2 linked regions of the Bombyx mori genome follow. The protein of the gene in region 2 interacts with the protein of the main gene of each other region in a pairwise test. Links are inferred from orthologs where the notes say so. Each region holds a gene or a part of one and is shown on either strand. Other genes may lie near its edges.

Region 1 (17,965 bases), on a different chromosome or scaffold from region 2:
TATACTATTCCAACTGAAATTTACATACCTATCAAAAATGTTGAAGCATTGGAGTATTTTGGATAATCCTACCTCTAGGATAGTTTCAGAAATTTCAGTTGGTGCGGAAACTAATAACGTTTTAAGCTGATTCATAGCACTTGGTATGTCTTCATCAGTTTGTAATCTAGTAATTAGATCTCTAAGCTGTTCTGCAACTTCAGCATCCATGATTTTTTCAGTAATTGACTATTTACTATTTTTATAATCAAGAAACGAGTTTCCCAAATAAAGTAGATAATAATATGTTTCCTAAAAAAAGATTAAATTTTCAAATATACTTTGGTTTATGTTTGTGTTTCCAATATTAAATTTTTTATTTAATTAGAACTTGAGGTACATACGGTACTTTTCATTTATGTTTACAAGACAAAAACTGCAAGTCGCCTGTCTAAATGTGTGTGTTTATTTGGGTATTATTTTTTTAAGGGATTTTCTGATCTGGTAACTAAGACTTTTAAGTCATTAGGCGTCGATGCGCCACTTCGGTAAAGCGGCACGACACGAGAACCCTCTCATCGTGGCCGCCGGTAACTACATCCCCAATCCTGCGGAAAGAATGGAAAGCAGTCGACATCGCCCAAAACACGTCATTTCGGATCCTCCCGATCCACTAACGGTGATTTTAGGTACTTCAAGCACAGGTCACCGTTCTCGTCGAACCCGTCGCTTTCGACGAAGGGCTTGACGAGTAAATTAACCCTCAGACACAGCCCACTGGGTTTCTCGCCGGATCTTCGCAGTGGGTCGCGTTTCCGATCCGGTGGTAGATTCTACGAAGCACGGCTCTTGCTAGGGTTCGTTTTAGGAACGTCGTCAGGTTTGAGCCCCGTGAGCTCACCTACTAGGAAAAAAAGGCCGTACGCTTTTTCCAGATCAACGAACACCCTAGGCAGATTCCTGTGCACGTCATGGTATTTTTCGCACACTTGGCGAAGTACAAATATGGCGTCCGTTGTCCCGCGACCAGGTATGAACCCGAACTGGTTTTGGGTGATCTCACTTTCTGAAACTAACACTAACTATACTGAGATCTTAGAACTAATATCTCAAGGTGGGTGGCGCATTTAGGTTATAGATATCTATGGGCTCCAGTAACCACTTAACACCAGGTGGGCTGTGAGCTCATCCACCCATCTAAGCAATAAAAATAAAAAAATATCAAAATATAAAATAATTTAGATAAAGATTAGGGTAAATCGTAATAAAAGAACTTTTATGTAGCTCATTATAGTAAAGTATTTTAATAACACATATCAACAGAAAAAACTTTTTGTTACGTAAACGATTTTTTAGACCTCCAATCTAAAAATTCGTCTATATCATCTTCGTTTTCTGATTCACAATTTTCGTCTAAGCTCATTTGGTCCATTTCGTGTATTTTCTTTTTCGTCTCTTCTTTTTGTAATTCCAAATCCAGGACTCTGTAAAAAAAAGGAAATTAAGTTCATTACTATGTTGAATAATTTAAAATTATTTAATTTAATAAAATTTTAGGTATTTAAAAGTAAAATTTCAGAGTTGTTTTTATCGTACCGGGACCATTTTCTAATTTGTTCGTCGATTTCTTCTATTTGTCGCTCTGCAGTGGCTTCTTCTTGTTCACCTGCTATAATTTCAGCTGATGCACTAGTTTCTTCTTTTATTTCTTTTCTGAATTTTTCCCATTCCTCTTCAATTGGATCTTTATATTCAATCTTACGAACCTAAAATAAAATAAACAATTTTCAAAATAAGCATAACGAATTTTCTCTTACGTAGACGAGCGAACAAGCAGCGAACATCACACTTTGTGTTGGAGTTTAGCATAGATATCACAACGTGTATGTCGTCATCCACATTAAGATATGATGTAGAAATCTCAATTTCATTGAAAAATCGTTCGAACTGGAGCGCATAACCGATACACCGCAGAAATAAGTGGGACCTACCTGGCTTATTACCGAGTGTGACTTAGATGATTACATTTAGTGAATAAATATTTTTTCTCATTAAAATACAAACAAAATCAATTCAGTTTAGTACTGCAAGTATTTGCAACCCATATGGATCAATAAACTGTTCCCATATACAATTATGTCGGTGCCGGTCATCATCGTAACGTAGCGTGAAAGCAATGAAATTTGTATCGGTATGATCTTTTTTTATCGCTTGTATGGGTGCACGAGCTCACAGCCCACCTGGTGTTTAGTGGTTACTGGAGCCCATAGACACCTGCAACGTAAATCCGCCACCCACCTTGAGATATAAGTTCTAAGGTCTCAGTATAGTTACAACGGCTGCCCCACCCTTCAAACCGAAACGCATTACTGCTTCACGGCAGAAATAGACAGGGTGGTGGTACCTACCAGTGCGGACTCGCCCTACCACTAGTAATTACGCAAATTATAATTTTGCGGGTTTGATTTTTATTACACTATGTTGTTCCTTCACCGTAGAAGTAAATCGTGAACATTTGTTGAGTACGTATTTCATTAGAAAAATTGGTACTGACCTGATATTCGAACACCGGTGCATCGCTCAACACGAATGCACCGGACGTCTTATCCTTTAGGCCACGACGATCTTCCATAAAGTCCACTGAAAAATTCTCAGTAAATGACCACCATTTTACTGAGATTATATTTCATCCCATATATTATTTTTCATATAAAAAAAGTTTTCATTAAAATTAAAATAAGACTTGACCTAAAGGTCTTAGTTACCAGGTCATAAAATCCCTTAAAAAAACATTCTCAGTGTGTCATGGTAATTTGATAATGTTATTACGGTATTTTTTGCGATTTCTATGTACTATACTACAGTATTTTACGAGGTTTAACTTAATAAAATGATAGTTTGTTAACTTTGACGAAAGTGGCATACGTTTCATATGATTCTTTCACAAGTTTAAAAATAAAGCAGTATCGTTCGAAGCGTAAGATTTTAAGGTCTTTCAATGAAAACAAATTTAATTTTGTTGAAAAGTTTTTCTCTTATTAGACATAGATACAACATGGATCCTACAAGTATGAAAAACCTTATTAAAATATGCATACCACCTCTGGATAAAAGTAGTCATAAAGGGCAAGCCGGAAGAATAGGGGTAATTGGTGGTTCTTTAGAATATACTGGTGCACCTTATTTTGCGGGGATTAGCTCACTCAAAGTTAGTAATTATTCAGTATTCCGTTTTTGTTAGGTAAGACTCATACAATAAACAAAATTTCATAAACATAAATACATCCACATTCTAGGAAAAGAAATTATTCATTAATCATGATACTCAACCAAAAGTTATGTGTTACTCTGAATATGAAAACATCCAGTGTAATTTAAAACGAATATTGATAATAAAGAACATATTTGTTAAAATTGCAGGTAGGTGCAGACTTGGCACATATATTTTGTTCTTCAGTTGCTTCTGCAGTAATTAAATCATATAGCCCAGAATTAATAGTGCATCCACTACTAGATAAGCAAGATGCTGTTGAGGAAATATTACCATGGTTTGACAGACTCCATTCTATAGTTATTGGCCCTGGATTAGGAAGAGATTGGCAAACATTTGATATAATAGCAAAATTAATAGAAGTCATCAAGCAAAAGAAAATACCCATTATCATTGATGCTGATGGTTTGTTTTTAATAACAGAAAAACCAAACTTAATTAAAGATTTTGATTCACCAGTAATATTAACCCCTAACAAAATAGAATTTGAACGACTAAGTAATAAAATAGATGTACAGACAATGGGGAAAAATGTTACTATATTAAAAAAAGGGCCCAATGATGAATTAATAAGTCCATTTCCTGAGTTCACTTGGTCATTGGAGACTGGGGGATCTGGACGGAGGTGTGGAGGACAGGGTGATTTATTATCTGGAACTATAGCTACATTCATGCATTGGACTCTCGCTAATATTGATAAAATTAAAATACCAGATATATCTAATAATAAAATGTTAGCAGCTTCTTTGTCTTGTTATGCTGCATGTATTTTAGTAAGAAAGTGCAATGAAAAGGCTTTTAAATTAAAAGGTCGAAGTATGTTAGCTACTGATATGATAGAATTTATACATGATGCTTTTGAAGAATTATATGACCAGTAATGTTTAGTTTCTATAAGGATAGTGATTGTGAAATAATGGTTTAATGAAATTATCATGTATGTATATATTAATAATGTATAATATGTAATGTTTTTTACTCAAATTAACTAAATTATGTGCTGTGTTTAAAAAGCAGAAGAGTTATGAAGTAATATGTTAGTTGATATTTTATAACATCTAATATCTGTTACCTTTGCATCTAAAACTGGGTCATCAAAAAAACCTTCTGGTATTGGTACATCACTTGCAGGTTCCTCTTTTTCTTTTTGATCTGTAGTCTGTACAGGTTCATTAACTGAAACATAATACTATGATATACTGTTGGCTATCATCTCACTCTGAGAATCATTTTTAGAAATTATATTTCTAAAGAGAAGACTTATGTCTGTGGTTTGCACTACAGAGAAGTACCCAATGATATGCAGGCGAAGTAAAATGTCCCTTAGAAATAAGGTGACACTCTACAAAACTTGCATACGCCCCGTCACTACCTATGCAAGTGTAGTGTTCGCTCACGCGGCCCGCACTAACTTAAAATCATTCCAAATCATTCAATCCCGTTTTTGCAGGATAGCGGTTGAAGCTCTGTGGTTCGTCAGGAACGTTGAATTCCATAACGACCTGGACTTTAGAGTCCATCAGTAAGTATCTACAGTCGGCGTCAATGTGCCACTTCGCCAAAGCGGCACGACACGAGAACCCTCGCATCGTGGCCGTCGGTAACTACATTCCCGATCCTGCGGACAGAATGGAAAGCAGTCGACGTCGCCCCAAACACGTCATTTCGGATCCTCCCGATCCACTAACAGTGCTTTTAGATACCTCAAGCACTGGTCACCGTTCTCATCGAAACCGTCGCTTGCGACGAAGGGCTCGACGAGTAAATTAACCCTCAGACACAGCCCACTGAGTTTCTCGCTGGATTTTTTCAGTGGGTCGCGTGTCCGATCCAGTGGTAGATTCTGCGAAGCACGGCTCGTGCTAGGGTTCGTGTTAGCAACGTCGTCAGGTTTGAGCCCCGTGAGCTCAACTACTAGTTAAGGTTACACTGATATAGCCTCTCAAGGCTATCAGCTTAGGTAGGGAAAAAAAAACTTGGTCAAGATACTGCCCTGTTTTTACATTCTACCTACTACTATTCACTACAGCTGATGAGTTCATCCATAGTACATTTTTATCATAAAATTAGACAATTTTGACTGACATTTAAAATATCATATTCTACTTTTTTAAATTGTATAAGCAGGTGAACAAGCTCACTAAGCCTCAATTGTGATAGCTGCCTCAATCTTATAAACTGGAAAAAATTGTGCTTCTCATCAGGAATAGGTGTGTAATACCATCAGGTGATGGTATGGTAGCTTTGTGAGTAAATATTAAATTTGTTATTTTCTCAATAAAACTAAGGAGAAACAAAAATAGTTTTTTCTGTTCGCTGATACTCTAACAGGCTATTCAGCTATTCCCGAACGGGTAGGTGAGCTTACTCACTAACCCTGAGAGAATTTGCTGACACCAGCCCTAGCAAGAACAGTACTTCATTGAATCTACCATTGGATCGGAATTGCGACCCATTGAGAAGATCCAGCGAGAAACTCAGTGGGCAAAAATGGTGAGAAAATAATAATACCTGCCCCGAAAAAAAATCCTCAAATTGAGAACCTGCTTTTCTATAAATATGAAAGAAAAAAAAACCAGAATACTACCTCAAGGAGGTTATATAAAGTCAAGCTGAGAAAAGATTTTAAAATCAACTAGATTATACAGCTTTACTTATACAGTCAAATCATCAGAATCGCAAATTCGAAGATAGGGCCTGCAGGGTACGACATTTGTATTAGTATAAAATGTATAAGCATCATTTTATACACATGTGCATTTGTATAAAATGATGCCAGTGTCCCGGAGTTTGAATCCTACATGCAGGTATATAATGAAAGGCGCAAGCCGCGCGAGCCAAAATCAAACAGAAGAAGAAGGTATATAATGAAATACATACTTAGCAAAAGTTCATAATTGACTTTCATAGTGAAACAATAACACGGTGTAATAAAAATAAAACAGACAAAATTATGATTTGTGTAATTACTGGTAGTAGGACATCTTGTGAGTCCGCACTGATATGAGTACATATCAGTGCGGACTCACAAGATAATTACTGCTTAGTAAAGCAGTAATTATTTGATTTGAAAGGTGGGACAACTGTGGTACTGAGGCCTTATAACTCAGGTCTCTAGGGGGCTGGGTCTTATTTATGTTGTAGATGTATATGGGCTCTGGTAACGACTTAACACCAGATGAGCAATAAAAAAGACATAAAAAATTAACTCTATGCAGTATTTTTGTTCAGCAGTTCACCCTAAGACCTTTCCCCTTTCAGTTGTCGCTCAAAACAAATTCATACAACAATGTAACCAATTCTAGTCACTTTTAATATACCATTGACTAAGCAAGTTGTCATTCTGATATCAACCTGTTTATAGTTGGTTGTTTATAGCTGTTTATAGATAAACTTAGGTATCAAAAGTAGTTTTTTGTATAAAAATAGTTTATAGGTAAGTAGAGCTTAAAAACAAAATGTATGCACTGAAAAAAGGGGTAGAAAAAATTGTGGATAAGTTTCATTTTAAATACCTTTGTTTAAAGTGGAAAATTATTTGTCACTTTAATTGTTATTGATAGTTAAAAATTGAAGAAATCATAGTTTTGATAAATTCATTTAATATTTATCTCAGGAAAAGTTCAAACTCCTACAGCCTCTCAGTCTAGATTCACAGAATGAAATGAACAAATAGATAGAATAATTTTAGGGAATTCCTCAAAATCATTCTATTTTAAAGAATATAGCACTTTAAAGAATATGCTTGGTAAACAAATCTATTTAAGATTAAACTAGTTGTTAGTTTAACGTGAGAATAGTGTTGAAAAACATATGGAAAGTTTGTATTTCATAATTATCTATGTATAATCAAGCTAAACAAATCAAAACTCAGAACTATTTTTAAAATGTAATACAACAGAATTTTTTCATTATGAGATTTCAAGTACTCTAGTTAAATCATTTAGGACTAACCTTTTTCTGTTATTACAACAGGATTAAGTGGAGTTCTTTTAATTTCTTCATTGTGAAATTCTACCACACTTGGGACATCATTTTTGGGTTTTGTTATCACTGGCACGGTGCCTACATTTTTTAATATTCCTTTTATCTTTTTTTCGGGAGGTGCATCTTTTGGAGGACTGGAACTCTTGTGTTTAACTTTGTTGACTACAGTGAAATTATTCGTCAGTTCCTTTAGTTTCTTAGCATTTTCAATATTTTCTCGATGTTGTTTACTATTGAGATGTACTTGCCAAACATTTTCCGATCTCACGACGGAAGTGCAAAGCAAACAAGTGAGATGTCCCACATTATTATATCTTGCGAGAGGATGATCTAACTTTACTCGTTTGACATCCTTCTTCTTCCTTTCTGCCATCAAACGACGCATTTCTTCTTGAGCTTTCTTCTTTTCGATTTGCAACCTGAGTGCCATGTTCGTTTGTGTAACGCTAAATTGTTTTATAAACTAATACCATCAACGGAATCACACAATAATACACCAATTTTTCTCAGCTAATAGGCACAATCACTGTAATACATCTACATTATATTATGTGTTTAAATCTATTATCTAGTTTATATAATTATGTATGTACCATGACATGGGGTAAATTGGGATCCTGGGGTAAATTGGGACAAACCTGCGGAAGATTCTCAAAGTACCTGTAGCATGGAATCTACCTAATTTTGTTTATGTTAATATTTATCAATGTATAGAAGAAAAACCAAGTTAACTATGGAAGTACTAAATATGAGTTAAGTTGGTCCCAAAAATTCGTCAAATTAAATTGAAAATAGTGGTTGAAAAGTGCGTTTTAAAACAGCTTAAAGAACTTTTAAAAAAAGTAATATTATCGTTGTTTTTTCAATAAGATCACAGTTTATATAAGTTTTTAATACACCTGGAAATACCACAACAAACGGTAAGTTGCAATATTCTTATTTTAAATACAATATTTCGACAAAATAAAAAATGTATATTTTTTCCTTTCTTTTTGGGGAAAATTGGGACGTATGTAGGGTAATTGGGAACGAGATTGGAATAATTAGGGACGAGAAAACACAAAATTGGAACGCCAAAAGACAAAATAGGGATGGCTTGTTAGGGTTGTCACTGATATCTTATAATAGATTTTTTAGCCCTATCACTTAATTGCGTGATGTAAAGAAGGTTAATGTGTTTATCAGTTAGTTTATGTAAGTATTATAGGTAAAAGAAAAGTATATATATAATTACTTTTTTTTCGCGACATTTACCTTGTAATATCTGCCCGGTCGTATGTTCTTTATAGCAATAAAAAAAATTAAAAGTTAAAAGAACTCAAACGAATCAAAACTTTTGTTATTTCAGAATCTATTCACGCGTCGAATCATGATTTTGTTAACATTCAAAACGCACACACAAATAAAAACAGGCCTCAGATTTTAAATGTAACATTAATTAAAAATCCGGGATATCCAATTATGAGTGAGTGAATTAATTGAGTTTAGTTATTTAGCTTAGAAAGAATTTCTTTTATTTTTGTTATAATTGGCAGTAATCAGATAAAGCTGTTTTTTTATCTTATTCACCTGATCTTACTCTTGCTCAAAGATTATTTTGAAAATGTTGATTAAATAAAATTGTATTATTGCATTTCCAGTCCTTTTGTTTTCTATTTTTTATTCTATTTTATCATTTTGTTTCAGAGTTGTGATTTTTAAGGAAATTAAATAATAATTTTCTAAAATATAACATGCACATACTTTTTTTGATCATTGTATTGTTGATTATCATTCACGTCACATCGCTTCGGAATAGAAACCAGCTTCATTTACACTATGTTGTGTATTGTGCTTAAATTATGGATTGTATTCATCATTTCGGTCCATATAAATAATTATATGGCACCTACCTATATATCGCAGTACTGCGAGTTGACAACCCTTACAAATATCCCAATTTAACCCTTAACCGTGTCAATTTACCCCGGACGCTGGGTAAATTGGGACGGCCATTATTTTACCGATTATTTCTTTAAAATGAATAATTAAAATTATGTAACCGTTTTTATCACCTAGGTACGTTCAAGACTCAACTTATTTCTTTGGTTGAGCAGTGACTATTTAATTGGAACTATTTTAAAATTCAATCTGAAGGTCGATTTTGTCCCTATTTACCCCATTGTACGGTACATACTCCACTGAAGTAGGAAAATAGGTCTATGTAGGAAACCTATGGAAATGAAACGTCAACAAAACATTCGTGCCACTGTGACGTCATCTGACCACAAAACATGGCGGTTTTAGTGCTGTACAAAAGATTTCAATGTTATCAGGTTTTATCGATAAACGTTCTTGGCTCATTTTATTTTAAATATTGTTGAGTATTATTTATTTGTAGAATTAATACTTTAATGGGAAGTAAGTAGGTATATTGTTATGTGCAAATATGATATGATTTAGATGTGTGAAATCTAAGACAAGTTCGTCCTTCGAATTTGCCACTGATTTTACACTGATTTTATAAAGTTGTCGTTTGTCACAAAACATAAAGATATGGCGTAGTACAGTGCCATCTGCCCATTTCTAGCATGCTAAATGTTATTTTTCTTAGACTATTACAATCTATTTTAATTGTTTTGCTGACTCTAAAGTCCGTAACACACTACCGCAGCGCACCTCAAGGAAGGTGCGCCGCACCATTTGAATCACTTTCACTTGAGAGTGATTCAAATTTCAAACTTATCAAGTGACCGCGTGAAAAAAAAAACACCTACAGAACATTTATTCATTAATTACAAACGTCATTCCTTGTGACTTCCTCTCTAAAATCACTTAATTATTAAATATTTAACGAATTTACAATAGTGTTTTACTCACTGCGGAATAAAACTATTTTATTTAAATAGTTCCGAAGAGATTTTGTCGGTAGCCTTTTTCCCGAAATATTTAAACAGAATGTCTAAATATGTTTTGATGACATATTTTAAAGAGGTATTTATGATTACTGTCATGATCAATAGATTCCGACCGAAAAATGGATTTTTCGGATGAGGGCTCCATAATGAATTTAAATACATATAGATAATAGTTTTAGGACATCGACTTTCTTGAGATCCTATAAAATACGTTTTAATTATTATTTTTGTATGTTTTAAGCATGATAAATTATGAAATTTTATATAATCAATCATATTAAATCGATATCATAGTCAATAAATAATGTACAACCCAAAACAGACGGCCGAACTGACGTGACAATGACATTTGGCGCGCTAAACATGGCGGATTTTCGGCCTCATTAGACGGAGACGGAGATATTTACGTATATTCATGTTTCATTTTATGTACGCACTGAAATACTGTTATATTGTTTTCCTGCGAGTTAAAGTGCTGAGTAAGAACGAGATAGATATATGTTTATGTATGTGCCTTCAAAATGGGTGCTATTTATATAAGCAATTGTACGTATAGAACAATATGTCGTGTCCCAATGAAGTAGGAAACCTATGGAAATGAAACGTCAACAAAAATTTCGTGCCACTGTGACGTCATCTGGCCACAAAACATGGCGGCTTTAGTGCTGTACAAAAGATTTCAATGTTATCAGGTTTTATCGATAAACGTTCTTGGCTCATTTTATTTTAAATATTGTTGAGTATTATTTATTTGTAGAATTTATACTTTAATGGGAAGTAAGTAGGTATATTGTTATGTGCAAATATGATATGATTTAGATGGGTGAAATCTAAGACAAGTTCGTCCTTCGAATTTGCCAAGTAAACGATATGATGATTTTTAAAAGTTGCTACACTGATTTTATAAAGTTGTCGTTTGTCGCAAAACATAAAGATATGGCGTAGTTCAAAGCCATCAGCCCATTTCTAGCATGCTAAATGTTATCGTATTTTGAGTACGTGTTTTTCTTAGACTATTACAATCTATTTTAATTGTTTTGCTGACTCTAAAGTCCGTAACATACTACCGCAGCGCACCCCAAGGAAGGTGCGCCGCACCATTTGAATCACTTTCGCTTGAGAGTGATTCAAATTTTAAACTTATCAAGGGACCGCGTGAAAAAAAAAACACCTACAGAACATTTATTCATTAATTAAAAACGTCATTCCTTGTGACTTCCTCTCTAAAATCACTTAATTATTAAATATTTAACAAATTTACAATAGTGTTTTACTCACTGCGGAATAAAACTATTTTATTTAAATAGTTCCGAAGATATTTTGTCGGTAGCCTTTTTCCCGAAATATCTAAACAGAATGTCTAAATATGTTTTGATGACATATTTTAAAGTGGTATTTATGATTAGTGTCATGATCAATAGATTCCGACCGAAAATGGATTTTTCGGATGAGGGCTCCATAATGAATTTAAATACATATAGATAATAGTTTTAGGACATCGACTTTCTTGAGATCCTATAAAATACGTTTTAATTATTATTTTTGTATGTTTTAAGCATGATAAATTATGAAATTTTATATAATCAATCATATTAAATCGATATCAAAGTCAATAAATAATGTACAACCCAAAACAGACGGCCGAACTGACGTGACAATGACATTTGGCGCGCTAAACATGGCGGATTTTCGGCCTAATTAGACGGAGACGGAGATATTTACGTATATTCATGTTTCATTTTATGTACGCACTGAAATACTGTTATATTGTTTTCCTGCGAGTTAAAGTGCTGAGTAAGAACGAGATAGATATATGTTTATGTATGTGCCTTCAAAATGGGTGCTATTTATATAAGCAATTGTACGTATAGAACAATATGTCGTGTCCCTACTATATAGGTCTATGTCGTGTCCCTACTATATAGGTCTACTATGGAATGACACCACAGTGACATTGACAATGTACAGCATACGAAAATCATAATCAAATCTGCTTCCGAACTTTTTGGCGGGAGCGTGAGGCACCAAGCTGTATAAATAGTTAAATTTTGTCGTGGTTTAGGTTTTTTCAGATTTATTATCTATTTAGTATCTGTGAAAGTGCTTAAATATGGCTTCAAAAAGTCCACTGGAAAAGTCTCGGTAGATAACCAGCATTTTACTGCGAATTTATTTCATCCCACCTCATCTCGTTTAATCTAATTTTATCCTAATTGACTGAAGTCTCATATTAATCAACTGCATCTCATTTCAATTCATATGATTAATCATTTAGCTTATAGCATATCATTTTTCCTATAACAGAAAATGTAGATATTTGATAATTGAAGATATTTAGGAACGCGAAAATGGCAACGCACTTATCCAATTTCCAAACATAAAAAAAAACAAATATCTAGTCAATTTTAGCACGTAACGAAGGTAATTTGTTTTATGTTGTGATTTTGTGTTTTTTCAGCTGTAAGTGTCTAATACTGGTACCTTAATCATAATTAACTTTATTAGTACCTGTGAAAATATATTATTAACAAATTTATCAAAATGGCTGAACGTGGCTTCCAAAAAGTCCTTTGAACTTTCAATAAACAAACAACATTTACTGAAAGGTTTTTCATTTTATCACATCCTATACCTATGATATTGTCATATTATATCTCTCTTTATTAGGTAATTTTATCTCCAAAATCAATAATATTTCAAATTTCATCCCGTTTCATGTAATTTTTCATACAACAGACATGGCTTTGACATTTATTACGAAGTAGGTAGTATGAACTATGTTCCCTATGTCAATCTAAAAATTAATAAATTAAAAAAAGTTTTTTAGCCTAAAAATCTTACTTTGCTAAAGTTTGCTATTAAAAGTAAGTAAAGTAATAAAGTACATAGGAGTTATAATAAAATTATGACTTGTTTTTCAGTAAACGATAACTTTATAGTTGCCGCAAGAAATTTACTTCTAGATTATTATGATTATCATACACATAAAATAATAACATTATCAACATCGGAAGAGACCGAGAATGATTGCATCGTAGATATTACCGTTTCGGGTGATCAGAAATACATAGCGGTAATTACATCAATATCGAAAAATTTGGTAGTGTTTTCATCATGTCTTGAAATTCTCAAAAAGATAATCCTACCAAGAAGTGCCAGTAAAATAAGATTTACTCAGAATAACAAACACATTTTAGTAGCAGATAAATCTGGTGATGCTTTGTTGTATAATCTAGAAGATGAAGGAAAATCTGGTATAAAATTGCTGGGGCATTTAAGCATTCTTTTGGATATATTGCAAACTATTGATGAAAAATATATAATCACATGCGACAGAGATGAAAAAATTAGGATATCTTGCTATCCTAACACATACAATATTGAAACATACTGTTTAGGCCATAAAGAATTTGTAAAAAATATTGAAATCTTACCTAATAATTATAATTATTTGATAAGTACTTCAGGTGATGGAACTGTAAAACTGTGGGACTATGTTAAAGGACAATTATGCCACACAATTGATACAAATGATATAATTGATGATGAAAATTTAAAAGAAGTATTCATAAAACAAATGGATTCAGAGGGTGTTGAAATCAAATCTTTGCCAATTGTTGCTTTTGCAGTAACCAAAGTTAATAAACATGTAACTCTAATAGCTATTGCTCTTCATGGTTTGAATATTGTATTTATTTACAATTTAAATTTAGATGATTTCCACGGGTTTAGCCATAAATTAGAATATAAGTTAAAGGTAGAAAAATTGCCATCATCTTTACTATTTTTTGGTTTAAATCTTTATCTGTATGATATTTCAAGTGCTTATTTGACCATTTATAACATGTCAATATCTGAAAAGATGTTAATAGAATTTAATAAAAATATTGTAATGTTTGGAGATGTACAGAAAAATATAATTTGTAGTAATAAATTGGAATCAATTAAGGTTTTGTATAAAAGAAAATTTGATAATGTTCATGAATATCAAGAAAGAAAGAAACAAAGACTAGAATTGAAAAATAAAGACAATAAATGAATTAATGTTTATTCTATTTTTTATTATAATTACTCATTAAGTCTTACATGTTAGACTAAATTAATTAATGATTATGCTTGACTTCTGCGAGTCCACCACCTAGGAAAAGGAGGCGGTGGAACGGGAGAGGGAGAGCTCTTCTTCCCTCTCGGCGCCGTGCCACCGCCGCCGACCCGGGAGTTGAAGAAGGCCGTTTGTCCAGCTCCGGGCCCTATTAGGAGGCAGTCTCCTCCCAGTAATTGTCACGGTCGCCCTCAACCCCCTTAGGTCGCCACCTAAGGGGATTGAGGCTGCGCCGCACGCTACCGTCACTAGCGTGCTGGCACCAGGAGAACGGGACGACGCGTCGGCGGCTGCGGGTGCGGTCCGCATTGTCGTCGCTGTCGTCGCCGAACATACTGTGGAAGAGCAACCCGGTCGGTGGTGTATCGCATTCCAACCCGGCAGGTTCGTTCTGGCTCAGCGGGGTATCCCGGAACACTAGCGGCATCGCCCGAGCGGCCTGATAGGGTCGCCGTACCGCGGAGACCGGCGTCGTTGGTCGTCGACTATCGCCTTGACGACCCGTCGGTAGGGCGTCGTCGAGGTGGCGCCGGTGTCTGGTTGTAGTGTTGACCGCGGGAAACCCCCGAGTCGACCGGGTTCTGAACCCGGAGGGAGATCGGACGTCGGGTGTAAGAGTGCAGGGGAGTCGTTTGTGCGGTAGGGCCCTAAAAGTCCTTGCGCCCGCGGTCTGCTCCCAACAACTTGCAGATCGTCAAGTCCCACATATCCCGCGCGCTCCCTAGGGAGCTTACTTACGAACTTCCGTAAGTTCGTAAGTTCGGATCCGGCCCAAAAAAAGTCTGCCGGTCTGGATAAACGCGGCGCAGTGGCGGAGAGACTGGGCAGAATTTCAGGGGTGCATCCAGGATGACTCCCAGATATTTGACCTTTCTGGTCCATGGTATTGATTGGTTAGAGAGGGTGAACGGGGGTGATTGTAAAACTATGTAAGCTTGCTTTAATTATCATAATTTTAGATTGGGTCGTAAGCTTTAAATAATTCATATAATATGTAATATAATTATTTATAATAATTTTAATTTAATTATTTGGAGTTTGAAAATAGGTAAAAAATGAGAACACATTTTATCAACCATGTAGCTTTTATTTCCTTTACAACTCGAACAAGAAATGTGAAATGTGCAAGTTTTATAGGTTGTACAAAAATAAACGAAACCTAACTAATATTTCAACATTTTATTAGTTACGCTAACAAGTTAATCTAAGCATGTTTTATTTTAACAGAAAAAAAACCTATAAGTTCACAATATCACATTTCGCTAAACAACAAGGCTTGTATAGTTAAGTGCCCGAAAAGACAGTCATTATATTAATATAATACTCATTGCTTTTATTAGACAACCAGGTCAACCTGATGAAAGACTTCAGGAACACATAAACTTAGATATAATTTGTATCTTAATTCATCTTCAGGACATGTTACTCTTACAAACGCCATATAATTTCTAAATGCAATAAATACAGTATGAGCCCTACCTTAATTACCTAGATTTAAGCACATTTGCAAAATTACGAAGTTGGGAGCCAAGATTATCAACTTCATGTAATACGCTATCGACTTCATTTTTGAGATCCATTAAATCAGGTAAGTTTTTACAGTCAGGAACATTTAGAAGGGTTGTAAAAATTTTGTCCCACAAACTAACCTTCATGTACCTAGAAGAAAATAAACAATATAGTTAGGAAACAGGTAGTCCAATGATTTATAAGCAGTCGAAGTTAGTGCGAATTAATAATACGGTTAGTAATAATTAACATATCAATCTACATCTGACTAAGTTACATCAACATATGAATTTAGATGAACAATTTGTGATAAATTTTAAGTCTGCATTGTTTATAAGTTCGTATAATAACGGTGGTTGGGTGTTTTTTTTCCTTGAAAGACCGAGGAGGATATCTGATGATGAGTGGTCACCAATACCGCAGAAACAACTGAGTAGTTGCTCAGTACGAGCAGTTTGGATTCCGCGCCAGACACTCGTGCGTCCATCAAGTGCACCGCCTCACGGAGCACATCTTACTAGGGCTGAACAGGCGGAAACCCATTCCGACAGGAGCCCTCTTCTTCGATATAGCGAAGGCGTTCGACAAAGTCTGGCACAACGGTTTGATATACAAACTGTATAACATGGGAGTGCCAGACAGACTCGTGCTCATCATACGAGACTACTTGTCGAACCGTTCGTTCCGATATCGAGTCCAGGGAACGCGTTCCCGGCCCCGTCACGTCACAGCCGGAGTCCCGCAAGGCTCCGCCCTCTCCCCGTTACTATTCAGTTTGTATATCAACGATATACCCCGGTCTCCGGAGACCCATCTGGCGCTCTTCGCCGATGACACCGCCATCTACTACTCGTGTAGGAAGAAGGCGTTGCTTCATCGACGACTTCAGACCGCAGCTACCACCATGGGACAGTGGTTCCGGAAGTGGCGCATCGACATTAACCCCACGAAAAGCACAGCGGTGCTCTTCAAAAGGGGTCGCCCTCCGAACACCACGCTGAGCATCCCTCTCCCGACTAGGCGCGTCAACACCCCCGCCCCCGCCGTTCGCCCAATCACGATGTTCGACCAGCCCATACCGTGGGCCCCGAAGGTCAAATATTTAGGCGTCACCCTCGACAGTAGGATGACATTCCGCCCCCACATCAAGACGGTACGCGACCGTGCCGCCTTCATTCTAGGACGTCTCTACCCGATGATATGTAGGCGAAGTAAAATGTCCCTTAGAAATAAGGTGACACTCTACAAAACTTGCATACGCCCCGTCATGACCTATGCAAGTGTAGTGTTCGCTCACGCGGCCCGCATACACTTAAAATCCTTTCAAATCATTCAATCCCGTTTTTGCAGGATAGCCGTCGGAGCCCCGTGGTTCGTCAGGAACGTCGACCTCCATGACGACCTGGACTTAGAGTCCATCAGTAAGTATCTTCAGTCGGCGTCCATGCGCCACTTCGATAAAGCGGCACGACACGAGAACCCTCTCATCGTGGCCGCCGGTAACTACATTCCCGATCCTGCGGACAGAATGGAAAGCAGTCGACGTCGCCCAAAACACGTCATCTCGGATCCTCCCGATCCACTAACGGTGCTTTTAGGTACTTCAAGCACCGGTCACCGTTCTCGTCGAACCCGTCGCTTGCGATGAAGGGCTCGACGAGTAAATTAACTCTCAGACACAGCCCACTGAGTTTCTCGCCGGATCTTCTCAGTGGGTCGCGTTTCCGATCCGGTGGTAGATTCTGCGAAGCACGACTCTTGCTAGGGTTCGTGTTAGCAACATCGTCAGGTTTGAGCCCCGTGAGCTCACCTACTAAAGTTAGGGTTACGCTGAAATAGCCGCTAGGGCTATCAGCTTAGGTAGGAAAAAAAAAAAAAAAAAAAAAAAAAAAAAAAAAAAAAAAAAAAAAAAAAAAAAAAAAAAAAAAAAAAAAAAAAAAAAAAAAAAAAAAAAAAAAAAAGTTGCTCAGTTGTTTCCGCGTGTTGGACCCATAGACCTATATAGTAGGGACACGACATATTGTTCTATACGTACAATTGCTTATATAAATAGCACCCATTTTGAAGGCACATACATAAACATATATCTATCTCGTTCTTACTCAGCACTTTAACTCGCAGGAAAACAATATAACAGTATTTCAGTGCGTACATAAAATGAAACATGAATATACGTAAATATCTCCGTCTCCGTCTAATGAGGCCGAAAATCCGCCATGT
Region 2 (17,189 bases):
CCCTAAAGATTTCACTAACGATACGATCACAAATGTCAACGGATATCCAATATATCGTCGAAGGAATCCAGATAATGGCAGACAATCATTTATTAAAAACATCAGCAACACAGACATTTATATTGACAATCGTTGGGTCGTGCCATATTCGCCCCTGCTGAGCAAAACATACAATGCTCATATTAATGTTGAGTTCTGCAGTTCTGTGAAGAGCATCAAATACATTTGCAATTATGTCCATAAAGGCAGTGAGATGGCGGTGCTTAGAGTGGAAAATATGAATGTACACACACAAACATTAGCTTGAGGCGTTGAACAGGACATTGAAAGATATTAAAAACAACGACAAACTATTTGGTGGCACTCTGTTAGTCCTTTCAGGTGACTTCAGACAAACACTTCCCGTCAGTCCACATTCAACATACGCTGATGAAATCAACGCCTGTTTAAAATCATCGACATTGTGGCGTAATGTTGAAATAGTACAGCTGAAAGTAAATATGCGCGTTCAAATGCTTCAAGATCCATCCGCTGAAACATTCTCAAAACAACTCTTAGATATCGGCGATGGAAAAGTCACTATAGCTGAAACTGAATACATAAAATTAGCGAATGATTTCTGCACTATCATTGATTCGCAAGATGCTCTCATTGAACAAATATTTCCCGATGTACACACGAATTACATAAATCTCGAGTGGCTTGCAGAAAGAGCAATGTTAGCTGCAAAACATGTGGACGTTGACATTTTAAATCTGAAGATACAACAGTTATTGCCAGGGGACTTGGTATCATATAAATGTATTGATACAGTTTGCGATGACACTGAAGCTGTAAATTTTCCAACAGAGTTTTGAACTCACTGGATTTGCCAGGCATGCCACCACATAACTTACAATTAAAGGTGGTTCAATTAAATTCGAGGTGAAAATATATTGATACCACGACCAAACAATGTCTGTTTGTGGCTTAGATTTGAGCACACTATATTTTTCACACGGACAATTATGCGTTGCATGCTCTCAAGTGGGTAAACCATCAAGTTTGTTTGTATTAGCTAAAGACGGGCTAACAAAAAATATTGTTCACGCTGCAGCATTAAGAGATTAATATTATGTAATGAATTAATTATATATATAACTATTACTTTTAATAAATTAAAACAATTAATGTTTGGTGTTTTGTTATTTTTAAACAACATTCCCTCATCGTTCACAGCGCTCCAGGCCTTTTTCACTCATATTCCACATCCTTATACACTTCAAATAAGTTAGTTTTTTTTTTTCTACACTAGAAATTCTCTAGAAATCTTATATATGGTAAGACAACGTTTGCCGGGTCAGCTAGTTATTTAATATAATTCATACTAAATATTATTAAATTATTAACGTTAAATATTAATTATTAATTATTTAATATTTAAAAAAAGAAGAAGTAAATTTAATAAAAATAAAGTATAACTTCTTACGCGCGTACATAAGTACACGCACCCTTTTTTTCGATTATGAAAAGGATTTAGGTTATTAGGTAAAGGAAAAGGATTTAGGTATTGAGACTACCTTGCATTTTGATTTAATAATTAAATTCGATTGTAAGTGGTCACCGATGCTCATGATCGAAAACAAACTAATGGGCATATCCAAATCAAAACTTAAAATTGTGTCACAACCTAAGCGTCACATAGGTGTAGCGGTGACTTATATAATAGAATTTCAAAATGGTTGACTGACGTCATTTTCAAAATGAATTTTCATTTATTATATAATACAAATTCCGAGAAATATCATTCGAACCGTTGGACTATTGAGCAAAACCAGTCGCGCTGTGGAAATTCACATAAACATGTAATGTCCCACCACCTACGCAGTTCAGTTTAGGCATATGAAAACTTTTAATTGACCAAAAGCAAAATCGTCTTCTTCATATCAAGCGTTGAAATCTGCCGACGAGGTCTGTTATAAAGTGGACTAACCAAAACCGCTCGTCCATCCATCCACTCACGACCCATAGACGAAGCATGTCCCCCAGACCCAACAGACGGAGGGTCATTAAAATGTCGTATGTATTCTTCGAATTAATCATAAACGCATCCGATTTGGATTTAGGGCGTGACTCACGGTGAAGCGTGACTTGTATTCACTGGTTGAACACAAAAACGGAACTATCAAATAGATAATATCGATTTGCAAATAAAGTTTTTTGAACACGTACGTTTGCCTTTCGAAGCGATGGACGTACAGGGCGCGACCATAATACGATAAGTCTTTACACGCTACACGAATATTCAACAATTTGTCGGATTGAATCTATCTTAGGATAGACTAGGGCTCGACGAGTAAATTAACCCTCAGACACAGCCCACTGAGTTTCTTGCCGGATCTTCTCAGTGGGTCGCGTTTCCGATCCGTTGGTAGATTCTGCGAAGCACTGCTCTTGCTAGGGTTCGTGTTAGCATCGTCGTCAGGTGCGAGCCCCGTGAGCTCACCTACTAGTTAAGGTTACGCTGAAATAGCCTCTCAAGGCTCTCAGGTTAAGTAGGAAAAAAAAAGTTAGTACTGGCTTACCTCGGAATCGGGAGTGGAACAGGTTAAATATATGCTTAACGTGAACTGACCTGGAGAAGTCTTTGTCTGTCTGAAGAGCTTCCTCGCCGTGACCGAGACGCAGTAGATGCCTTTCGTCTACATCCAGCTCGGCGACCTTCTCGAATAGCTGATTCAGGGCCTGGTTGCTGTGCGTTACGACCAGGGTACGTTGCCACGGGAAGTTGTGGTATATGTTCGAAATTATTTGAACTGCCACGTCCGTTTTACCTGAAATCAAACACTCGTGGTAACGCATACCAAGACCCTGTAGGGAGGGGAGAGATTACACATCCATCTGCCGCTAAATATTATATTTAATTTTTTTATTTATATATTAGGCACATAATACACATTACAAGCTAAAAAGATACGCAAAAAATAACAACAAGCAAAAGTAAACAAATAATATGCATGCCTGTGTGTGTGTGTCAAATACATGACAGACATGTCTTTTTATTAAAAACTAACTATAATATGATATATTGTTCTTGCAAATTAATAATAATTAATAATATAATGCAAACACATTGTTTTAGTTGACCCTAAGAGCACTAAATTTAGTGTTTAATGAAATGTGTGATGGCAATTCAGGCGAATCTATCAGAGAGTGAATTATTTATTAATTATTTATTTAACGGCCGTCTGGTGTAGTGGTAAGTGACATGGTCACTACACAAGGGGGTCGCGGGTTCGAATCCCGCCAATGGAGGATATTTGTATGATCAATATAAAAACGTCTTTTCCAGAGTTATGGATGTATATTAAATATATGTATGTGTATAATAAAAATATTACATTTATTTCCGTTATCTGGTACCTGTAACAAAAGTTATTTACGAACTCACCACGGGACCAGTTAACGTGGCGTGATTGTTAGTAAATATTTATTTAAAAAGTATAAAAAAAAAAATATATATATATAAACATTTAAATTAGGCAAGACTTAGACACCACCCCCGCCCCCTCAACATAAGGCTTTGAAAACAAAAAGCGTTTTTCAAGAACATTATTTACCAGTTCCAGGTGGACCGACGACCAATGTGAGTCCAGGTTGCATTCCAGAACGTATAGCTTCCACTTGTGTCGGAGTGAATAGTATATTATTCCTGTACAAATAAAGGGATATTATTAGATCGTTTGTTTCGGAGCTGTCGAGACTTACGACAGACTACTAAAGCAGGTTGCGTCAACATCTTCATTACTGGTGGTAGGACCTCTTGTGAGTCCGCACGGATAGGTACCACCGCCCTGCCTATTTCTGCCGTGGAGTAGTAATGCGTTTCGGTTTGAAGGCTGGGGCAACCGTTGTAACTATACTGAGACCTTATTAGAACTTATATCTCAAGGTGGGTGGCGCATTTACGTCGTAGATGTCTACGGGTTCCAGTAACTATTTAGCACCAGGTGGGCTGTGAGCTGGTCCACCCATCTAAACAAAAAAAAAAGAATCATAAGGTTGGATTCTCATACTGTATTGTTTCTCTTGTGGCCTTGAGCTCTACTGTAAGCTCTTTAAAAAATATATTATAATTTACGTTTTTTTTTGTAATCCTGTAAACAGGCCTTTGTCTTTCTTTATTAGCTTAGCCATCTAAGCAATAAAAAAAAAACAAAATAAGAAAATATCGATACTCACTTCTTTGGTTCGTTGTACAAATACGGTCCCCTCTTCGGTTGTACGTGGGGTTCGACAATGATCGCTTTGCGGGGTTCGTCTTCGTCCATAGCTGCGTCCCCGACCTGCTGCTTCCGTACGACGTTTTCGAAAGTCAACCTAAACGGGTAATTTATACGAATCATTTTAATATGTACAACTTCGCCTTAGGGTCACCGCTGCACGCCGCAGTCATAACCACAAAACGCCGCCACTGGCATATTTCCTGTAATTTTCATACATTTTATATGGACTCGCCGCACACGGATGACGCCGGTGACCGCTACACGCTACATATAAAATGTGTGAAAATTACAAGAAATATTCCGGTGGCGGCTTTTTGTGATTGCGGCTGGTGGCCCGTGTGCGGCGACCCTTAATCGATCATCGTTGATTTCCATGTCCAAACACACATTAAAAGTTTAGACATAATATGACATAGTCCCCTCTGTAGAACTTGTATAGTAGCATATGGAAAAACAGTGCCATCAGAATTTCAGACTACCGGATAAAATACATTGATGCTCTAAGAACGTTGGCAACACCAACAGGCCTTAGAATCGAGATCCTACAGTGACAGATTTTAGAGTTACCCGCACGCAAGATAAACAAAAGTTAGTCAAAATGCTGAAAACAATCCATAAAGAATTTCAATAAGAATTATATTGAAACTACTTAACCGGTTTAATCATTTAGCGCGTTGTTATTATCACTAGTGGACCCCGCGGTCGTCGAAATTCTACTATAATTAATTAAAATTATAAGTTTGTACACTATTATGATTCTACTGTCAAAGACTATTTACTTCTATAATCACAGATTTCGTCAAGACTACACTTTAGACAAATATTAATAAAGACAAACAATGTTTAATCTATTCTCAATTTGACCATAGACTATGAGCAATAAGATTTTTTTTACAGTAAACAAATAATATGCATGCTTGTGTGTGTAATGTTTTTCTTATTGAGTTAATGTATTTTTATGCATAATTTAAAAAAAAATTAACATTCTACTGCACTACTTCTCTATATTCTCATATAAGTGTGGGAAAGGGGATTGCCCACTCTCCATAGTGTGCTAGGCCCAAGATGGACATCAAATATTACTATAAAAATGTACTGATTCAAATTCTTAAATGTATTGGATATCTAAAAAATATATTGAAATTGACGCCACTATTATAAAAAATACAATAAAAATAAAAACTCGTTTTGAGGTTAATTTTCTATATAAATAAGTGTCGGATTGTGAGATACTTCAAGAACTTTTCTTTTCTTAATGTTTAAGATGTTCCTAATGTATTTTTATCCAATAGGGTATAAAAACACACTTAATTCTTTAAATATCTATATTTTCTTCATCTTCATACACAATTAGTATCATCTAAAAATAGCAAAGGAGAGCATATACACGGTTTTAAATCTCGGTCAGGGTAAAACCACAATTCACACAATGTTTTTAGTCGTAGTATGAAACGTTATTGATAAAAGTATAATAAATCGAAGAAAAATCAAAACACATCCATTTTGTACGCAAGCACAACACCACAAGCAGCAAGCGAAGTGTCAGTCAGTCAGATTAAATTCAGTGTTGTCAGTATAAAGAAAAATAATTACATGAAATTCATATATCGATTATTTTTTTAAATAACCGATAATTGATTTATATCTTAATATTTTTTTTACGAGTACACATTATTTTTTATGTTTTTGTTTTAGTTGTACATATTTAAATAACAATACTAGTAAAGTTTTTTTTATTGCTTAGATGGGTGGGCGAGCTCACAGCCACCCTGGTGTTGCTAAGTGGTTACTCGAACCCACATACATCTACAACGTAAATGCGCCACCCACCTTGAGATATAAGTTCTAAGGTCTCAAGTATAGTTACAAGTTAAAGTCCAATGGGTATGTCTTAGATGTTATTTTATGTGCATAAAATCCATTAAAATCGTTTGATTAATGATAATACAGTCAAAATCTGTTATAACGACATCGAAGGGACTGCTCATATTCAGTCGTAAAAACCGATAGTCGTAACAACCGGTGATGTTTAATGTGTATCGTGCAAGTACAAACAAATCGATAGGGAATTATTGGAATAATATATTTATACAATACGCGATTTTTCTTCAATATTAATTTGTTTTATTTTTCTTTGCGCCATTTTGAAAGTTTCACGAATAACTCCACAAAGTTTTGGTGCGTCTCGTGTATAGATAAGTAACAAATAGTGAAGAGATATGAAGAAGCGGGCTTTGACTACCGCATGCACGTGTTTTGTTTCTAAGAATTAGAAAAGACCCTACACTAAACTAAATCCTATTGTTTTCTTTCCTGATTTTAAAAGCCATTGAAGACAAATGTGGATACCTATTCAAATTGTTTACAATACAGCTTAGCCGGTCGTTCTAACAGATCTAATTCTCCGAAATATTAGTTAAATGTGGTCGTTTTATGAGGTATGTCGTTATTACCAATGTCGTAGAAAGCAATATTTTTAATAAGGCGGTCATATGGCATTCAGCCGGGACCTTTGTTCTTGGTTATTATAACCGGCATGTTGTATTAAACGATGTCGCAGTAAACGGTTTTGACTGTACTTAAAATGATTTATTTATATGTTTTATTTATATACTCAAAATATTTACTTCATACGTAAAAGGATTTGAAGCTGGCAATATTTTTCCCGCAAAAATAAAAATCCTTGTTTTTTCAATAGAGTTACTTTTTTTAAACTACTTATTGTAAACTATAGTGGCGCTTATTTGCAAGAAAATAAATGCATATTTATTTATGACAAAATTAATGCACTAAGTATTTTTTCTATAATCTATTGTCCGCTTTGGGCCTAAAATGGGCCATCCCCTTTCATACTCCGTATGCGTCCGCGCAATTTTCGTAAGAAGGGGTACAAAGTTTTTGCTTCACGTACTAATATATAGATTATGTAGATATATCGTGTCTACATATTTATGTCTACGACTCTGAAAACTTAATATGCTTTTGTTAATTATTTTTATTAAATAATTTTAAAGTTATATTTCCATAGACAACTTGAGATATTAAATCTGAATTGTGTAATATGCTTCGTTGCTTCGTGGCAGAATCAGTCCAACACTCATATAAATATTAGCCTATCCATTAGGTACATGTGTTTTCTACATGGATACCAAGTTTCAAGTCAATCGGATGCACGGTTCAGTAGTTATAACGGAACAACCATAAAAACCCCGCCCCTGCCTATTTCTGCTTACTGGTGGTAGGACCTCTTGTGAGTCCGCACGGGTAGGTACCACCGCGCCTGCCTATTTCTGCCGTGAAGCAGTAATGCGTTTCGGTTTGAAGGGCGGGGCAGCCGTTGTAACTATAGTTGAGCCCTTAGAACTTATATCTCAAGGTGGGTGGCGCATTTACGTTGTGGATGTCTATGGGCTCCAGTAACCACTTAACATCAGGTGGGCTGTGAGCTCGTCCACCAATCTAAGCAATAAAAAAAAAACTTTATATATTAGTATAGATATAGATTACTTATTTGTATAGCGATAACGGAAGCATCGTGATTCCAAAAGATCAAAACGAGGTATGAAAATGAATCTCTAATGCCCATGTTTATTCTCAGTATTACAATGACGTCACGCCCGAAGAAGCACGTGACATTGACACATAACGTTTCTATTGTTTGCGGTTCAACGAATGCGCGGGACTTGAACAACGACTAGACTTTGGCCATTGCATAAACGAGTGGACGAGATCCCGACCCGTCTAGTGTTAAATAATCAAGGTCGTCAAGTCGCTAATCCCGCCACTCAAGGGCAAGGAGTAGTATCAAACTCCGGCCGCTACTCACAAAGGGACGCCAAACTGGTGGTAGGACCTCTTGTGAGTCCGCGCGGGTGGGTACCACCACCCTGCCTATTTCTGCCGTGAAGCAGTAATGCGTTTCGGTTTGAAGGGTGGGGCAGCCGTTGTAACTATACCTGAGACCTTAGAACTTATATCTCAAGGTGGGTGGCGCATTTACGTTGTGGAAGTCTATGGGCTCCAGTAACCACTAAACATCAGGTGGGCTGTGAGCTCGTCCACCCATCTAAGCAATAAAAAAAAAAAAAAATGATCCACAAAACAACTTGTAACTATACTTGAGACCTTAGAACTTATATCTCAAGGTGGGTGGCGCATTTACGGTGTAGATGTCTATGGGCTCCAGTAGCTACTTAACACCAGGTGGACTGTGAGTTCGTCGAACCATCTAAGCAACAAACAAAATATGGTGTATATATTTTTTTGTTATTCCCTTAGTCGTGTTGCATTTTATTTGCACACACAAATATTAACATAACAGATTCAAAATGATTTCTACCGACACCGTTATTACAATGAGCGGTTTCCTTATTTGATAACGAATTTTTCGCGTGCATTTATGAAAAGAACTCATAGAAAAAGTGACTTACAAGGGACACGATAAAGGTTCATTATTCATTTGTGGTTATGTGGACCCACCCGTCTTAAGTCAGAAAATCTGTTTCCTTTTTGTTTTTAAACAAAAAAAAAATATTGTGGACCGTATGAAACTACTTGAAGACATACAAACAAAAAAGGCCTATAAAAGGACTCCTCACACCCCTGGTGTGAGGAGTCCAACACTCATATAAATATTAGCCTATCCATCAGGTACATGTATTTTCTACATGGATACCAAGTTTCAAGTCAATCGGATGCGTGGTTCAGTAGTTATAACGGAACATCCGTAAAAACCACAGTAGATTTATATATTAGTATAGATATAGTTATATTAGTATAGATTTAGGATGCACTCTGCAAGTAAATTCTGAACTTACTTGAACGGCCTGACGAGCTTCCTTGGGTCGTTGGTCTGCACCTTGATTTCGTACCCCGGGAAGCTGTTCCGCAGATGATCCATGTTCAGGAATGTATCGTTGAAGTCCAGAGTAGCTATCTCGTTCGGCATCCTGTGGGAGTACACTGCGGTCACGAATTTCATACCGATAAATGGGACCAGACCTCTAGTGAGTCCGCGCGGGTAGGTACCACCACCCCGCCATGCGTTTCGGTTTGAAGGGTGGGGCAGCCGTTGTAACTATACCGAGACATTATCAGGTGGGCCGTATGCTCGTCTGCCTACATGGGCAATAAATAAAAAAGATACCAGCATTCTCTTAGTATTATACCAGCGTACTGCAATTTTAAATCAGCATATATGTATACTGATAAGGCGTATTTGAAAGCCTGCACGGTTAGGTACCAAAATTCAGGTCTTTTCTGCCACGAAGCAGTTATGCGATTGAGTCTTCGACCTCATGTCTCAAGGCGGATGGCGGCATCTTGTGATGCCTATAAGATGCCTATAGGTTGTGAGCACTCATTGAATGCTAATAGATCGTAAGATTTTCTTCTCATCTACATTAATATAATATGAAATTACATACATATTAAACGACGCATATGTACATATATTACCTACACTCAATACACGATAAAAGTAATTGTATCTAATTGACGTACATACGCTTCATCAGATCGCGTGGTTTTCTGGGAATTCAACAAGATAAATTCTGACGCATCATGACGAATTCTATTTTAAGATTTTTACTTTTAGTTTTTAACAAACAGTGCGAATGTCAATTTCTTGGACACTGTTAAATCCATTTCACAGTGTCAAAGAAATGTAGGTATCAATGTCTCAATATGAAGACATTTTAAGATAAGTTTATATAATATAGTAGATAAGTAAAGAGTGGAAAGTTATCGTTGTAAGGGGAATATATGCAGTAAGAGGATGCTCGTGTGGCCAAAAAGACCTTGGGTATAAAAGTAGACGGTAATATTCTGACGTCATCGAGTCAATAACTAGTCGGAACTATCTTACAGAGCGTTTAACGAAACAACACTCTCCTCAACGCATAAAGCAATTGTTATCACTCCTTTGGTACAAATAAAACTATTTATAAACCTAACAATTTAAAACTCAATGAAACGGAAAAGCGACACTGAAAAGAGACAAACATATATCTATACGATTTAGCATGCGAGAGAATGAGATAGAAACACTTCGGAAGGTTTCGCTTCTATGGCGCGTGAATTTTAGACGTGTTTTTTTTTTCAATCCATCTTCAGTTTGATTCGCAGACTCACGCTTCCCATGACCATGATACTACCAAGATAATAGAGATACGATTCCGATCGTGTAGTAGATTCATTCGCGAAGCTATTGCTCTTGAGTTGTTAGGTCTCCTTCGGAGGCGCTCGGGCAGTTGTTAGCAAATCCCACCCCTCCTGGCTGAGCCTTTGCTCGGCCACCTCACCTGGTGAAACTGGAAAGGCCTCCGGGCCACCAGTAATCTTTCAATCATATATAAAAAAAATATATACGAACCTCGTGTAATGAGCTTGACCGGGATCTCCGTAGCCCAAGACTATATCGTGAAGCCAGTCCGGTACAACGCATTCGGTGTTCATTAATTCTCGTATCGTTTCCAATACGGCCTTGAAGTTGTTCTCTTTCGGTTTACGACGCATAACTATATTGAAAGTCTCGTACACGTCCTGCGATAATCGTTTTAAAATAACGTCACCGATTTATTATATCGGTTTAATAAATCGGTGACGCTTTCGCGCCTTAACCAATAAATCGCGCATCACTAAGCACATACACGTACGTTGTCAGGGGTACATAAAAAGGACGCCTTTCATTCAAAAAGACAGTGCTGTTCCTGTTAGATATATGTAGACGTTACCAGATTCACGTAAAAGCTTTCATATTACTTTAAATCAATTATTTATTGGAATTTAAACGGTTACCAGTAACCAAATACATCACGCTTTGAATAATGACATCCACGATGAGTGAAGTCTCAATTATAATTGAAGACTTGAGTGGATGAAGGGGTTAAGTACCATTTTTAAGAATTTTGAGTTTTTACATTGAATGAAGGCGTTATGTGTCTATAAACCATATTAGAACTTAAAACTCCGGGTTTAGACGCTTTTTTTAGAAATTGCATGTTATGAAGGAGTTATGTTCGAATAAAAAGTACAAGTACCTAACAAAAATTTGATGCCCGTTTTCGCAAAATTATCAAATTATATCATATCCCCTTCATCCACTCATGTCCTCAATTCACGGCGGCTTTGTGGCGGAAATAGACTAGACGGTGTTACCATGCGACAATACGCCCCAACAACAGGTCAGATCCATGTGAGTTCACCTAGTCATTCGGCAAATCTAGTATGACCCCTCGGGGTCACTAGAGTATAAAAAAAAAACGCCACAACATTATCGTGCATTTTTTTAATTGATTTCATTTTATTAGCCCCGTTATTCTTTCATCTTGTATTCATTAGCGAACATGTAGTAAGTGCGTATTTCGTTAGAAAAATTAGTACCTACATGCGGGATTTGAACACCGGTATTATCGCATCGCTCGATACGAGTACACTAGGCGCCTTATCTTTTAGGCTACGACCACTATTTACTTGCGATCATCCGTCTCTTCTAGAAGGTCCCCACGATTGGGTCCCAGTAGATGCGAACAGGAGTTTGGTACAAAACCCAAAATAGAGTCCTGAACAATAATTGTTATAGTTACCTCATTCCCTTTACTAGCTCTGTCCAAGTCAAGTCTGTATTGGTTAGGATCGAGTAAGAGCCTGAAGGTCCTGGAATCTCCCTCTAACTCCGGCCGCGGTTCCGGCCCGTCCTCAATGACTCTGCCGGATGCGTCCAGCATACCTTCAACTTCGCAACCCCTCACGTACACTATCCCCGCCTGATCCACCATACTCTTTCTGTAGTCATACTTTGTACCTATAAGAATTTTCAAATCTGAAGCTGAATATGTCTATATAGTAGAGAGAACTATCTTATAACAATATGATATCAACGACTGATGTAATTTCAAATCAATCGGACGAATAATACGCAAACAGAAAAAAACGTGTTTTATTCTTTCTTCTTCTTCCTTTCCTTGTCCTACTTTAGGTGGGGTTGGGTCTTCTAATTCGTCTACACTGGGAATTTCTATCCTGTGTTGTCATGCTGTCAAGTCGGACCTCATTCAGAGGTCGGGATATATTGTTCCGCAATGTCCCCTTGCCTTTTTCAGACAGCTCCATTGCTTGGTGAACGGCATAGTCATTATGCGTACGCATCACTTATCCTTACTATCTATGACGAATCTCTGAGAGTTTTTGAGCAATTGGAGCAACAATTTCCTCGTATGTGCTTCACGTTTTATTTCACGTGTATTACTCAGTGAGATAATTTAAATTTTATTTCTTACAACGAATCGGATCGATTCTAGGAATGTCGATGGTCGGGACGTAAAAAACAGAAGCGCACTTGAATTTCAAAAACAGATGCCTCGAATTTATTATGGGAAAGACCTTGATTCCGTTCTAAGTCGGTGAGTCCCGACACCACATCATAGAAATTGGGGAAACCCAAACGTCGGGGCGCCGTGATAGTCGTCTAAATATTTCGGAGAGCATTTCTTGGCACAAATAGACAACATAAATACAATTATATCACAACAGCATAAAAAACAAATTTAAAAGTAACGTAAGCAGTCTATCAGAACACGATATTTTCTCAAAATCATCTATACTATAATATTCTAAAGCTGAAGAGTTTGTTTGTTTGAACGCGCTAATCTCAGAAACTACTGGTCCGATTTGAAAAACTATTTCAGTAATAGATAACTCATTTATTGAGGAAGGCTAGGCTATATAACATCACGGCAAGACAAGTGGCGCACCAATAAATAATGTTTCAAAATAGGGGTTTAAATAGCTCCTTAACATTCTATAATTCAAAAATATTTTCACTTTCTACGTAAATGAAGTGGGGGTAGAATTTAGCGTTATGCCAAAGTAACTATTCCACGCGGACGGAGTCGCGGGCAAAAGCTAGTATACGATAAAATCTTGACAAAAATGAACTAAATAAATTGCAGACGAATTTATTGTATTCGCAAACTTAATGGTTCTTAAAGTTACCTTACCTATGCCTTGTGTAGGTCTGACGGTTACCAGGAAGCAAACGTCATGCTTCCTGAGGTTTTCCCATTCGTGTTTTATCTCGTTTCTGAGGCTCAACGTGACGGTGACATCGGCTCGGACCCTCGACGGGGCCTTCTCGCCGATGTTCGGTTTGGCCACTTCGACAACTGCGAAGCTCTTTATAGGATGCGCCATCCGCGCCCAGCCCCCAAAATAAACGCTTCCGTCTTCTGAATTCCTGGTAGAATAAGGAAACATTTTGAGCTTTTACGCTTATTTAGATCATGAGACTCCTCCCAACATCCTAGCCACAGTCTACCCGTGACCGGGGCCCCTTCAACGGGCTAAACGGAAATATCGATTAGGTATTCATTAAAATTAAGAACCCGCTGAATAATAAATAGTAGGTACATACAAAGCATGAGGGATTTCGGTTTTATGAAAACAATCGATCTATTTAGTTTCGTTATTGTTGTTCGTTTTAGTCAAACTGCCACACTGTGTTTCGCACCTTTACGGTAAGATCCTGGTAATAGTATTGTTTTTTCGTAAGTGACCACGATCCTAACACCTGCTCACGACATTATCGATGAAATTTTACCTTTCATCAAAATATACTAGGTATAGTAAAGTAGGATATCTGTGTTTTTTTTTATTCCTAGATAGGTGGACCTGCTCACAACCCACCTGATGTTAAGTGGTTACCAGAGCCCATAGACATAATATATATAGCGTAAATGCCGGCAGCCACCTTGAGATATGAGTTCTAAGGTCTCAGTATAGTTACGACGGCTGCCCCACCCTTCAAACTGAAACGCATTACTGCTTTACGGCAGAAAAAGGCAGTGTGCTGGTTGGTACCTACCCGTGCGGACTCACAAGACGCTCTACCATCAGTAATTACGCAAATTATAATTTTGCGGGATTTATTTGGAATGAAATCTAAACTCTATAATCACGTAGTTATCTAATAGAGTCTATAAGCGTTGTTTCGTTTTAAGGTGATGTACTTGATTGCAATAATACACAATTATTCTGCAACACACGATGGTTAAAACACAATTACGTATTCCCGTAAAATCTTTGATAATACGATCCTTTACCCGACACTGATTACGGTCAGAGTTATAAACGTCTTGGCGTGGTCACGCCTAGATATGAGTAAGCGCTTGGGTAGGTTTGGGTACTGTTTATTCGCGGGTTTAATGCATATTTCGTTCACTTGTGTATGAGTCTATTTATTTTTGCACGGCACGTGCATGTTACAATGTTTCTATTGTGTGTTCGCCAAAATAACTATGATACTATTTCTGTTTTTTTTTTATAGCAGTCCATGGGAACATAGCGTGAAAGCCGCTACTGACTTTGAAACATAGCTTCAAGTATCAGTTGTATAGTATCGGCTGCCTCACCTTACAAGCCGGAATGCCTGACGGCAGAAATTGACCGGTGGGTGCAAGGGCGGATCCAGCTTTGGCGCCAGGAGGGGGTCACATAGTCAAATTTAGATGCGTTCGTTCTCAAACGTTTGCCATTATACAAAGTAATTATATTATATTAAATTAATTAAATATTAAAGGTATGTAGTTACATAAAATCTGTATGGTGACAAAATATATAAATAAAATCATTATATTCAATTAGTGGTCCACCTAAGTCCCTGGACCCAGCTCAGGGGGTGGTCATGACCCCCATGACCCTCCCCCTGGATCCGTCATTGGGTGGGTGTTGGCAACTCCAACATTTTAGTATGGAAAATAAAATTATATGACTGGCAACATTGATGATGTCAGTCTCTTCCTTTTTTTTACTTTTCACCGCAAGCGGACGTGTTTATCATATAAATAAAATATCAAGTGTATAAACATACAAATAAACCGTATTGCAGCACAAAGCACAAATTTTCTTTATCATCAGCAACTGGTTCATACAGCCCGCAACAAAACAGTGGATGCTGTTTACTTTTTTTTTTTTTTTTTTTTTTATGATTGAAACATTACTGGTGGCCCAGAGGCCTTTCCAGCTTCACCAGGACAGGTGGGCGAGCAAAGGCTCAGCCAGGAGGGGGGGAATTTGCTAACAACTGCCCGAGCGCCTCCGAAGGAGACCTAACAACTCAAGAGCAATTGCTTCGCGAATGAATCTACTACCGGATCGGAATCGCGACCCACTGAGAAGATCCGGCGAGAAACTCAGCGGGCTGATGCATGGGTTAGGTTGCACGTCGACCTCTTTGTCGAGTTCGACGAGTACGGTTACCGGGGTTCCTCAGCCTGCTCCTAGTGTTAGAGCTGAAGGTATCTAATGCAAGAGTTATTGGATCTGATGGATCCGTAAGGACGTGTCTAGGGCGACGACGGTGACTTGCTCCTGCGTGATCAGGATTCGGGGAGTAATCAGCGGCGGCAACGATAAGGCGATTATCATGACGCATAGCCTTATCGAAGTAACGTTCCGACACTAACTTCATATGTTTGCGGATCGATTCGAGGCCCAGGTCGTCGTGAAGGTCGACGTTCCTCACGAACCACGGAGCCCCGACGGCTAACCTGCAAAAGCGGGATTGTAGGGATTGGAGGGTGTCTATGTGTGTGCGGGCCGCGTGAGCGAACACCACACTCGCGTAAGTCATGACGGGCCTTATGCAAGTTTTGTAAAGTGTCACCTTGTTCCGAAGGGACATTTTACTCCGCTTACAGATCATGGGATAGAGTCTACCGAGAATAAATGCGGCACGGTCACGGACTGTTTTTATATGCGGACGGAATGTCATGGATGCATCCAGGGTTACTCCCAGGTACTTGACCTTCCTGGTCCAGGGTATAGGTTGGCCGAAGAGGGTGATCGGGGGTGTGATATTTCTCCTCCTAATGCGGGAGGAAATAAGCGGAGAGTTTCCCCTTTGAAATAACACTGCTGTGCTTTTCGCTGGGTTGATGTCTATGCGCCATTTTCGAAACCACTGTCCGAGGGTTAACGCTGCACTCTGGAGCTTACTCGCGATTAGGGACTTGTTTCTACTTGAGTAGTAAACGGTTGTGTCGTCAGCGAATAAGGCTAGCTGGGTCGGCGGCGACTGGGGAATATCATTGACAAATAAACTAAATAGGAGCGGAGAAAGAACGGAGCCTTGCGGGACTCCAGCCGTGAGTGGTCGCGGGGAGGAGCGGGTTCCCTCTACTCGATATCGAAAAGAGCGGTTAGACAAGAAGTCCCGTATGATGAGCACGAGACTATCCGGTACGCCCATGTTGAAAAGTTTGAAAATCAAACCGTTGTGCCAGACTTTGTCGAACGCTTTTGCGACGTCGAAGAAGAGGGCTCCCGTGTAGATCGGTTTTGGTCGGTTTACTTATCTTTGTTTACGATACACTCTAACAATGCGCAATTACGCAAATTAGAAAATCTTGTGGGTTAGATTTTTATTGACACGCTCTTATTCTTTCACCGTGGAAGTCATTCGTGAGCATGCGTTAACTCTTTGACTGCTATGTAGATCACCCGTGCCCTACGCGGCGCACTGAAGTAATTATGTCGATTACTGAAATATCTAGTGGATTCTCGGAGAGACAAATCCGAAGATAGCGCGAATGAACCTATTTCTAAACGATCTAAAATACTAAAACGTCCAATAACAAACAAATTAAAGCAAAGTTAGGCAGTGCAGGCGCTCTACAAACATAAATTGATATAATAAATTCAGTGCGCCATGTAAGGCATCGATGACCTACACGGCAGTAAAATGGGTTAAGGATGTATTTAATATTAAAAAAAATATCGGTATCTGCTGTGGGATTCGAACACTGGCATAGTCACATCGATCAACAGGAGTACACCGGACGTCTTATTCGTTAGGCCACGAAGATTTCGAACATTTTCTGAGGTCGTCGTTTAGTTTCAGTAATTTTAAAGAATATTTCTTGACAT

What was found.
Region 1: the proteins of RNA helicase aquarius (region 2) and zinc finger protein 830 interact in a two-hybrid assay, tested with the Homo sapiens proteins (2 studies listed by BioGRID and IntAct, with this or other methods). The link is inferred for Bombyx mori from reciprocal best matches to the Homo sapiens genes AQR and ZNF830.

The regions. Positions count from the first base shown.
Region 1 is NC_085115.1:6,211,381-6,229,345, reverse strand, and holds zinc finger protein 830, read right to left. Parts: upstream 7,832-17,965; 5' UTR 7,668-7,831; coding exon 7,205-7,667; intron 5,551-7,204; exon of another isoform or gene 4,427-5,550; coding exon 4,323-4,426; exon of another isoform or gene 4,132-4,322; coding exon of another isoform or gene 3,400-4,131; intron 3,188-3,399; coding exon of another isoform or gene 2,978-3,187; exon of another isoform or gene 2,755-2,977; intron 1,746-2,754; coding exon 1,576-1,745; intron 1,464-1,575; coding exon 1,316-1,463; 3' UTR 1,254-1,315; downstream 1-1,253. Other genes in the region: 26S proteasome non-ATPase regulatory subunit 5, read right to left, coding at 29-210; ATP-dependent (S)-NAD(P)H-hydrate dehydratase, read left to right, coding at 2,978-3,187, 3,400-4,131; tRNA (guanine-N(7)-)-methyltransferase non-catalytic subunit wuho, read left to right, coding at 13,040-14,173; mitotic checkpoint serine/threonine-protein kinase BUB1 beta, read right to left, coding at 15,721-15,895.
Region 2 is NC_085131.1:6,783,153-6,800,341, forward strand, and holds part of RNA helicase aquarius, read right to left. Parts: intron 13,501-17,189; coding exon 13,265-13,500; intron 12,070-13,264; coding exon 11,852-12,069; intron 10,809-11,851; coding exon 10,639-10,808; intron 9,215-10,638; coding exon 9,083-9,214; intron 4,360-9,082; coding exon 4,222-4,359; intron 3,692-4,221; coding exon 3,600-3,691; intron 2,814-3,599; coding exon 2,615-2,813; intron 1-2,614.